Oryzias latipes: one gene and its partner. The main gene of each other region encodes a partner of the protein of the gene in region 2 in a complex. Links are inferred from orthologs where the notes say so. Each region holds a gene or a part of one and is shown on either strand. Other genes may lie near its edges. The genes, in order: mms22l and tonsl.

The links.
Region 1: tonsl (region 2) and mms22l share a complex: the UniProt entries of both Homo sapiens proteins name them as parts of the MMS22L-TONSL complex. The link is inferred for Oryzias latipes from reciprocal best matches to the Homo sapiens genes TONSL and MMS22L.

What each region holds. Positions count from the first base shown.
Region 1 is NC_019874.2:5,052,897-5,057,260, reverse strand, and holds the start of mms22l (protein MMS22-like), read right to left. Parts: upstream 2,933-4,364; 5' UTR 2,823-2,932; intron 2,699-2,822; 5' UTR 2,667-2,698; coding exon 2,494-2,666; intron 2,484-2,493; exon of another isoform or gene 2,470-2,483; coding exon of another isoform or gene 2,402-2,469; intron 1,167-2,401; coding exon 1,041-1,166; intron 913-1,040; coding exon 860-912; intron 1-859. UniProt on the Homo sapiens protein: Component of the MMS22L-TONSL complex, a complex that promotes homologous recombination-mediated repair of double-strand breaks (DSBs) at stalled or collapsed replication forks.
Region 2 is NC_019880.2:10,035,071-10,039,440, reverse strand, and holds the start of tonsl (tonsoku-like protein), read left to right. Parts: upstream 1-1,459; 5' UTR 1,460-1,742; coding exon 1,743-1,767; intron 1,768-1,849; coding exon 1,850-1,945; intron 1,946-2,020; coding exon 2,021-2,181; intron 2,182-2,265; coding exon 2,266-2,449; intron 2,450-2,533; coding exon 2,534-2,663; intron 2,664-2,751; coding exon 2,752-2,923; intron 2,924-3,001; coding exon 3,002-3,116; intron 3,117-3,195; coding exon 3,196-3,347; intron 3,348-3,442; coding exon 3,443-3,595; intron 3,596-4,370. UniProt on the Homo sapiens protein: Component of the MMS22L-TONSL complex, a complex that promotes homologous recombination-mediated repair of double-strand breaks (DSBs) at stalled or collapsed replication forks.

The DNA of each region.
Region 1 (4,364 bases), on a different chromosome or scaffold from region 2:
TAAGGATTCTTAATTCTATCTGATTGAAGTTTTGAACTATAACGACAAATCATGTAATAAAAATAGGGGTGGGATTATATAAGTTCACTTCCTTCCACTCCCTTTCAAGCCATCTTTGATTTAATGTCTAATTATCCTAAGTTTGATACGTCTTTGTTGATTGCTTGAAATAAAGCATTTCGAATCAAATCAAAATTTATGCAAACCTGCTGCAGGAGGAGGATCTTATTTGACACAAGGTGTGTTTTATTTTGAAAGGAACTTATTTTTGCTGCTGCTAAAAGAAATACAACTTAAAATAGTTAAATACTGAACTACTGTAAAAAATGTAAAGGCAACATTTTAATAAAGGACACAAGGAGTGTTTGTCTTAACCGTGAAGTGGGACTTTTTGGCTCTGGCTGGAGTTTGGTCAGTAAGAAACTGGACCAAATGACTCTCTGTGTACGTTCATGTTTTCTAAATCTTGATCTCGCTTGAATGAAGTTCATTTGTTTGTGTTGTATTGTGCTTCCAGTATATCAAATTATGCAGAGACATGGGAAAACATATAGGTGATCTAGATTTGTAGGCAAAGAAAATCCAACGACTTAACACTAACTTATACAATCTGTTGATTTAAACCTACATGTCTCTTTGCTGTAGCAAGAACAAAAAACAAAAATGTTTTAGAAAGAATCGTCCTGACTTCGTTTTTGAAGTTGAAGATGCTTTTATCTCATTTCCGAAAAGACTTTCTCAATTGTAAAAATAAACTAGTACCGGTGAATGAACTGCTTTTGTAAGCTCCTCCGATGGAGTTTGGACTTGACGGCGATCCAAAACAAAGATCTGTGAACTACAACAAACACTGACTTACCAAAGTCATGAGAGGAGGACTTGACCAAAGTCTCCAGTTTGTAAACATTTTGTCTGAAACACAAAAACCAACAGAAATACATACAGAAAAGAGATGAAATGATCAAGAACATTATCAGTTATAATAGTTGTGTTTGATGCTTCTGAGGAAAAGGACTTTTAAAGTAAGGCGATAAATCTACCTGAACAGACCAAAGAGTAGTTTGGTTTTTTCCACCAGTGCCGTCTCCGTCACCCAGACGAAGCCAAAGATCTCTACCGTGTCTGCCTCACACTCAGCTGGTGCTGGGTCCAGCCGTAACAGCATCCTGGCATTCAACAACACTATTAACAGAGATTCTCTTCCTCCACTGTGGAAGATTTTTTCCTCCCATATTTCTAAGTAATATTCAATTTTCAATTGAAAATTCAGGCTTGAAATTTGAAAATATATTTTGCAATTTAGAATTCAATATGAAATTTACTATTTAGTCTTACATTAAAAAAAAATAAAATATTGAATAAAAGCAACCTCAATTGCATTTTCAATTGTCATGGGTTTTTGACAGTAAAATAAGAACTGGACTGAGCGACTTTTGCCCCCGGCATTCCAAATAGGAAGTACCCGGATGTCCCAAAAAGCCGAGATCCCATGGACTTTTATAGTGAAGTAAACAGCTATTACTCAGTCATTATGTTCATCAGAATAATCAGTCTGACCAATAAGAGGCTTCAATAAAAGAAGTTGGCCTTGGGTTGAACGTTGAAAGTGTTTGATTGACAGATTCTCCCAAGCCCGCTTTTATAGGAAGGGTGTGGCCTTCTAACGTACTCACTCCTGTTTGCAGAGAGCGGCTGACATAGAAATGTAGACGGACCAATCGTGGCTTCCTGAGGAGGTCGGATTCCAACATGGTAACGCACATATCGCGGAGAAATGGCGACAGCATTGACTTAATTAAGTTGGAAACGGAAGCGAGGCCTTTTTTTTTACGAGTGAGGTCACATGTGATCCGTCCAGTTATATGTTAAACAGTCAATGGTCTTTAGTGCTATAATTGTTTATTTCTTCATAGACGTCTATGGGGTTTTGGATTCTTGGAGCCAGCAGGAACTTCCTGTCTGGAACGCAAAGTGGAAGGGGACACTCAGTCCAGTTTTCTTATGCAGTCAATGATTTTGATGCATATGCACAGATGCAAATTAGTATGCAATAAATTTACAATAAAATGGATTTAAATCAAAGAATTGAAATGTAATTTTTTAATAATAAATTGTAATTTCCTAAATGCTATTTGATTTTATTTATGGTACTAATAACCCACAACGATTTAAAGTGCTACTTTAAATCTCTCACTAGCTCACTAGTGCTACTAGTGATTTTGCTTTTATTTAAAATTTCGTTTTTTAAATCTAAGATTGAACTCAAATTTTTCATAATGAATTCCAAGTTGCAAACTAATAAAAACCCTTAACTGAATGATTAAATTGTTAATGAATTGTAAACTGAGAATTAAATCTTACTTTGTATAATGGGCAGAAAAAACAAACAAAAAAAAACCACCACACTACAGCACTCAAAGTGTAGTTTCCTTCAGTGGATGTCAGAAGCTCAAAGCCCCACATTAGCATGAAAATTTGCCCGTCTGTCTGTACCGTTTCAGGGAGCCTCTGGCAGCGTATCCTTCAGGTGACAGAGCAGCAGCGGCTTCATCTTTAACCTCAGAGCAGCAGAAATGCGGTGGACGCGCAGGAATCGGATCACAATGACTGTCTGAAGTGAATGGGGACACTGGGGGAGTCAGAGACTGGCTGAAGTCATCAGACATTCTGTCGCACCACGAGCGATTTCCCCAATGAGCTGAGAAACGAACACGCAGATTACAGCAATTATAGTAAACTCTACTTAATTCAAATACCAACATTAATTACAGGAATGATAACTGGCATTACAAGAATTAAAATAAGGCTGTGTGGACACTAACCTTTTATTTCCTGTTATCAGTGATCTAATGCATCGAGTGTAAATTGAATCAAAAGCGGAGAATTAAGTAATCCCTACATTTGTCATGACGCGGTTGTTTTGGTTTTGAGGCTCTCCCGCGCATTTATCAAACGCATGCGCACTTCTTTCAAGGCAGTTTATTGGGCAGTCTTACCAAAATAGGCGTGTTTTAGTCGAACTTCCGGACAAGATGACTCCCTGTTGAAGACTTCCGTCTTCGCTGAACGATTATAAAATGATTGAGCACGAAGTTGTTGTGTCTTTCTCTCGCCATTATTTGTCTGGAAATATATAAAAAAGGTTTTAGATTGGTATTCAATTTTAAATTCAAAAGTGCCTAACAAAGTTCTGCCATAGTCGGAAACATTTACATAAAAACGAGATGCCCGCAGATCTTTGTCTAACAAAGTACATTGTGCCGCCGTCACACCATTAATTCATGATTTATCACATTTAAAACCATATTGTTTTTGTGAATTTCAATGCATTGCATCTGCATGTTCATCTTGTCCGGTCAAAAGATGTCTAACTGAGCCTGGTTTTCTTGTTTTCTGCTACATTTTTGTAATAAAACCTTTAAGAATATGACTTTTAAATATTTTGGTATTGGTAAATATCTATATCAATATGAATTAAGAAAAACAAACATAAAATTTTTTTGATTGAGTTTATTTGATAATAGTCATATAAGTTCCCATAAATTTTTATGTACATAGGCCCACTGTATATGTAGAGCTCAAGGTTCTATTTTAATAATTTCTTGCACCCTTGAAACCCATATAAACTCTGACATAGGATGTAGGTGCAGACAGTCACAAGAGATGAATAAACCTTCTGTCAATGGGCGGGGATAAAATGATGACGACATCCTGACGCTTGCTGTCAAAATATGGTCCTCTCTCTCACCACATAACTATCAGCTACACAAGCGCTACACAAACCTTATTGATTTGCTTTCACCTTGTAAGTTTAATCAAGTCATTTTTTATGTTTTCATTCAAAACTAACCTTGGTTAATAAGAAAAATCTGTTATCATATGAGTTGGTATTAAAACTTGACTAAGATGAAATTTTCATTCAAAAATAACACATTAATGTAGTTAACTGCTTCTTTCAAAATATATTTTAAATTAGGTTCGATTTATATTGGCATTTATGATATTTTGTTTTTAGTTTTCTATTGGGTTCTCTTCCAAACAGAAAATTGTAAGTAAAAAGGAAATAAAACAAAGACAGTTAACAGTTAACAGATCTAATAATACATTGGGATTGTAAAGTTATGCAGAAAAAGGATTATTTTTTCTGTCTGGCTAACATAGGCCAATTTATACACAAATGCAATATCTTATGTTATTAGAGTAAAAGATCCTTTCAATTTATAATTGATATGCATTTGTCAAATCATCACCAAACATCATCACCAGCAAAAATGATTGCAGAAAAGAGCAGCTAATAAATAAAATTTCCTCTATAGATGTACTGAAACTGTTGGAGACTTACTTTTATATTGGCTTGATTGCCT
Region 2 (4,370 bases):
AAGATACAGGCAGGCACAGGCTGAGATAAAACTCTGTGTGATCTGAGGCTGCTCTGATGTTTAGCTTCCTGCTGACACGCTGCAAAAAGGGGAACCAAATAAAAATAATGATGCGTTTCTAAGAGTTGCCAGCAGAGCTTTTTTTGTTCTTTTTTTCCTCTTTATAACCTCCTGCTGTGGTGTTTTTCACTGATTTGTTCTCAGGAGGTCGGGATTATCTCTGAATGCCGCAAAACACAGGTAAATGTGTGTGCAGAACCAAACACCGTTTTCCCAACAAGCAGCCTTGAAAAATTCCCTTTGCTAAAATCATTTTTGGAAATAATTGCAGGAAAAAAAAACATTTAAAAAAAGCATGATCAAAGTCATCTTCCTTATGAGTTTTCATTCAAAAACAACCAAAAATTGGCATGATATGTAACTGAGTAAGTTGTTGCCAGCATCTGCTTGGCCACATGTTCTCCTCCTCACTTGTTCTATTTATTTATTTTCTCTCCTCTCCTCTCCTCTCCCTGGCAGGATGAACAGCTGGATTATGACCGCGTGAATTTGGGTTAGCTGCATCTGTGTCAACCTCAAAACTAGTTCAAATAATCCCAGGCATTGTTTTGTTTGCACTTCAGATTTCTGGATCCTTTGGTGAAACAGCAAAACAAGACGACTGGAGCAGACAAGCTACATGAATAGCCTTTTTATTTTAAAAATGGCTATGTCAATTAACTCATTTGTTTATATGAGTGAGTATGTGATTTCAAGAGACTAAAATAAAATAAAATAAAAAATCAGTCTCTTTCTCCCTAAACCTATTTTTTCATTAAACCTATTTTTCTTCATTAAAATAACTTACTTGAAATATTAAATGGGATCAAAATTAAACCAACAATAAAAATAACCTACATTATGCTCTAATGTTTTAAATAAAAAATACTCACTAATAATTGCACATTTCATTAAAATACTTTAGATTTACTAACATTTGTCAAAGGAAAAGAAACGTACGTACTGAGCAAGTATGTGGGTGTCCACAAGAGGGCGCTGTGGCATGGGGAAAAAAGCTAGTTCGGCGACTTCTTAAACATTATTTGATCTCCGTGTATGTCAGTTTCACGTTATTTGTTTTGGTAATTATAGCAATTTTACGTCTGTACTATTTTTATATCAAAACAAGATCATTTAAATAAGGGTGACTCTAATTCTGTTCCTTTGAAACGTCACAAGCTGACTGGCCAATTATCGATCGCTTCTATGATGGTGAAGTAACCCAACGTAACGTTTGACAGGCATACTAGACTAGAATAAACTCACTCGATTTTCACGTTTGAAATTATCTATATCATTGTTTGATATTTCATGCTATTTAAAGGTAAGGTTAGTCATCATAGTTTGGTAGGCGAGATTGAAAAGAAAAACTTTCAGCAGTGGTTATGCCTGTAAGTCAAAGTTTAGGTAAAAGTTAATCCTTCTAAAAGGATCGGCTGACGCTTTTTCCTGGCGGGCCGATCGGAATTGTTTTGTGTAATCGAAGCTAAAAACAGGCAAATATTCATACGTGTTTGATGTGCGAATTTGTTTTTCTTGCTAATAATCACGCAGGATTGGACACGCATGTGATTGAGAAACGACAGAGGATAGACCAAAACCCTGACATTTAAATGAAGAGAAACGTCTGATCGATTAATGTGCGAACTGGCGGTAGTTTAGTGGCGCTAAGTGAAGCTGCCTTACTGGTGAGGAGAACGAAAATGAGCTCCTCGCGGGAGATCAAGCGTAAGTATCGCTAACTTGTTAAAGTTTTGCTCTTGCTAAAGGGCGCGTGCGTCAACTGACTTGTTTTGATTTCCGCTCGCAGAGCTGCAGAAAGCTAAAAGTAAAGCTCAAGCTAGCAACAACCTAAAAGAAGAAGCCAACATCTGCAACCAGCTGGGAGAGCTGCTGTCCAGGAATGGTATTCAGCTTTGATCAACTCCAACTTAGCCGTTTAGGACCCTTGTTTTTCTTCATGCTTGTGTGTTATTGCAAGTTTTTCCATATGTTGTAGGTGATTATGAGGCAGCCATCAGAGAACATCAGCAGGAGCTGTCTCTGTCCGAGAGCTTGGATGATGTGATCGGACGAGCTGTGGCAAACCGCAAGATAGGAGAATGCTATGCAGAGATGGGGAACATCAAAGCTGCTCTGAAAGTGAGTAAACCTGAGGAACAAAGGATGACGGTCAGGTTTCAGACCCCATCATGGATCTGTGTGTGTGTGATTGAATCCCTCCAGCATCAGCAGTGTCATCTGGACTTGGCTCACTCTGTAGGCGATCACGCTGAGGTGCAACGAGCTCTAGCCACCATCGGTCGAACCTACCTCTTTCGTTATGAATCCGACCAATCCAAGAGCAGCTTGAAGAAGGCAGAGGATGCTTTCAGGAAGAGTCTGGCTATTGTGGATGAGCGTTTGGGAGGTCTGCACTGGTTCGTTTCTATTTTTGCAAGAACTATCGAATATGGAGGATTTGTCATAATCTTTTTTCTTTTGCAACCTGCAGGGACTGTCCCCGACAGAGAAATCGCTGAGATGAAAGCTCGTCTTTTCCTCAATCTGGGTATCGTCTGTGATCACCTGGGGGAGTCCAAACATTGCAGCGAGTTCATCCGACGCAGCGTCTTCATTGCCGTGTAAGAACAAACCAAACGTCGGGTGTGTTGTCGTGCATCCCTGATGGGTTGTCAGCGATCCTTTCCCTTTTCTTCTGACTTTCCAAAGAAAGAGCCAGCTGCTGGAGGATCTCTACCGGGCAAACTTCAACCTGGGTAACATCTATTTCCGTAACGGCGAGCACTCCAACGCCGTGCGGTGCTTGGAGCAGGCCAAAGAGTGCGCCAGGAAGATGAAGGATAAATTCATTGAGAGCGAGTGCTTTCACTGCATCGGCAAGGTACTGTCACCTCCGCTGCTCCCCGCAGCTGTGGCTTTACAGGTCTGAGTAGTTCATGCTGCAAATGGCTGTGAGCAGGTGCAGCTGTCTCTCGGGGATTTTGTAGCAGCCAGACGATCCTTGAAGAAGGCCCTCCAGCTGGGATCCCAGCAACCACAGGACAGAATGGCTGTAAAGAAAGCCTTCAAATACGGTAAGAGTTTTCCATCCGCTCGCTCTGGCCGTTGAAAGTATTTCTCTTTATCTCAGCAAAAAAGTGTTTTTCTCCTCAGCTGACCGGGGTTGTAAATTAGAGGAAGACTTGGGTGAAGATCAGGGCAAGAGGCTGGGCCCTCGTCAGGCCGTGGAGCTGGCGGAGCAGCTGGGGGACCTTTGCTGTAAGGTCGGATGCTACAGCAAAGCTGTGGATGCCTACCAAGCTCAAGTGAGAAACAGCAAAAGATGAACGCTGAACACGTTCGTTCAGGCCGTCTCTTACACTTTATTAAAAAACTAAAAAAACAATCTTTTGTGGTTTAGCTGAAGGGAGCTGAAGAGATGGGAAAGCCTGCCAGGGAACTGGCCGTCATCCACGTCTCTCTAGCCGCCACGTACACGGATCTGAGGCGGCACGGCAAAGCGGTGGAGCACTACAGGAAGGAGCTGGCTTTACGACAGGGAAATTCTGTCGAGGTGGGTGTGAAACTCCACTGTGGGGTCAAATCAAGATCGGTTTACAGACACACTCCAAGGAAAATTTTGTTTTTGTGGCATTTGTCTGATGATGGAGGAGATATTTAAAGAAACACAACTCAGAGGTTAATTTCTACTAGTATTTTTTAAATTTGGGCTAAAAACAACCAAATTATAATTAAAAGACCACTAAGCTTTTTCAATAGTTCTAAAGATGATCAGAGTTGGTCTTTAAAGGTATTGAAAAACCACATTGTATCATTGGAAACAGTTTTATATTTGAAAGCACACATTGTAATCTGGAAAGAAATATTGTAAATTTGAAAAAAAAAATTGAATGAAAGAAATACTAAAAACCTTTTAAAAAAAACAACTATAAATCTAAAACTGTTACCAAATCAAACACATTTTTTGTAAAACAGCTGCTTTTCTGTATTTTAAACTTTTTCAAAATGTGTTTTTTTCCTCCTCTTTTTAGTCCTCATTTTATTTGTTGGATCGACTCCAAAAATGAAAACTCTGAATTGATATTGTAGTTTGAGGGATGAAAAGGAATTAGAGAAAGAAAGCAAAAAAAAAAAAAAGTTGAAAATTCAAAAAAACAGCTGTTACAAATAAACATTTTTTTTCATCTAACAGTTTTATGTGTATAGTTTATTTTTTCAGTTCTGTATTTCTTCAAATAGGGAATATTTATCTTTTTGAATTTTACAATTTATTTACAAAAAATCAATATTTTTTCAATTTAACAATATGTATTTTCGTGTTTGAAGCT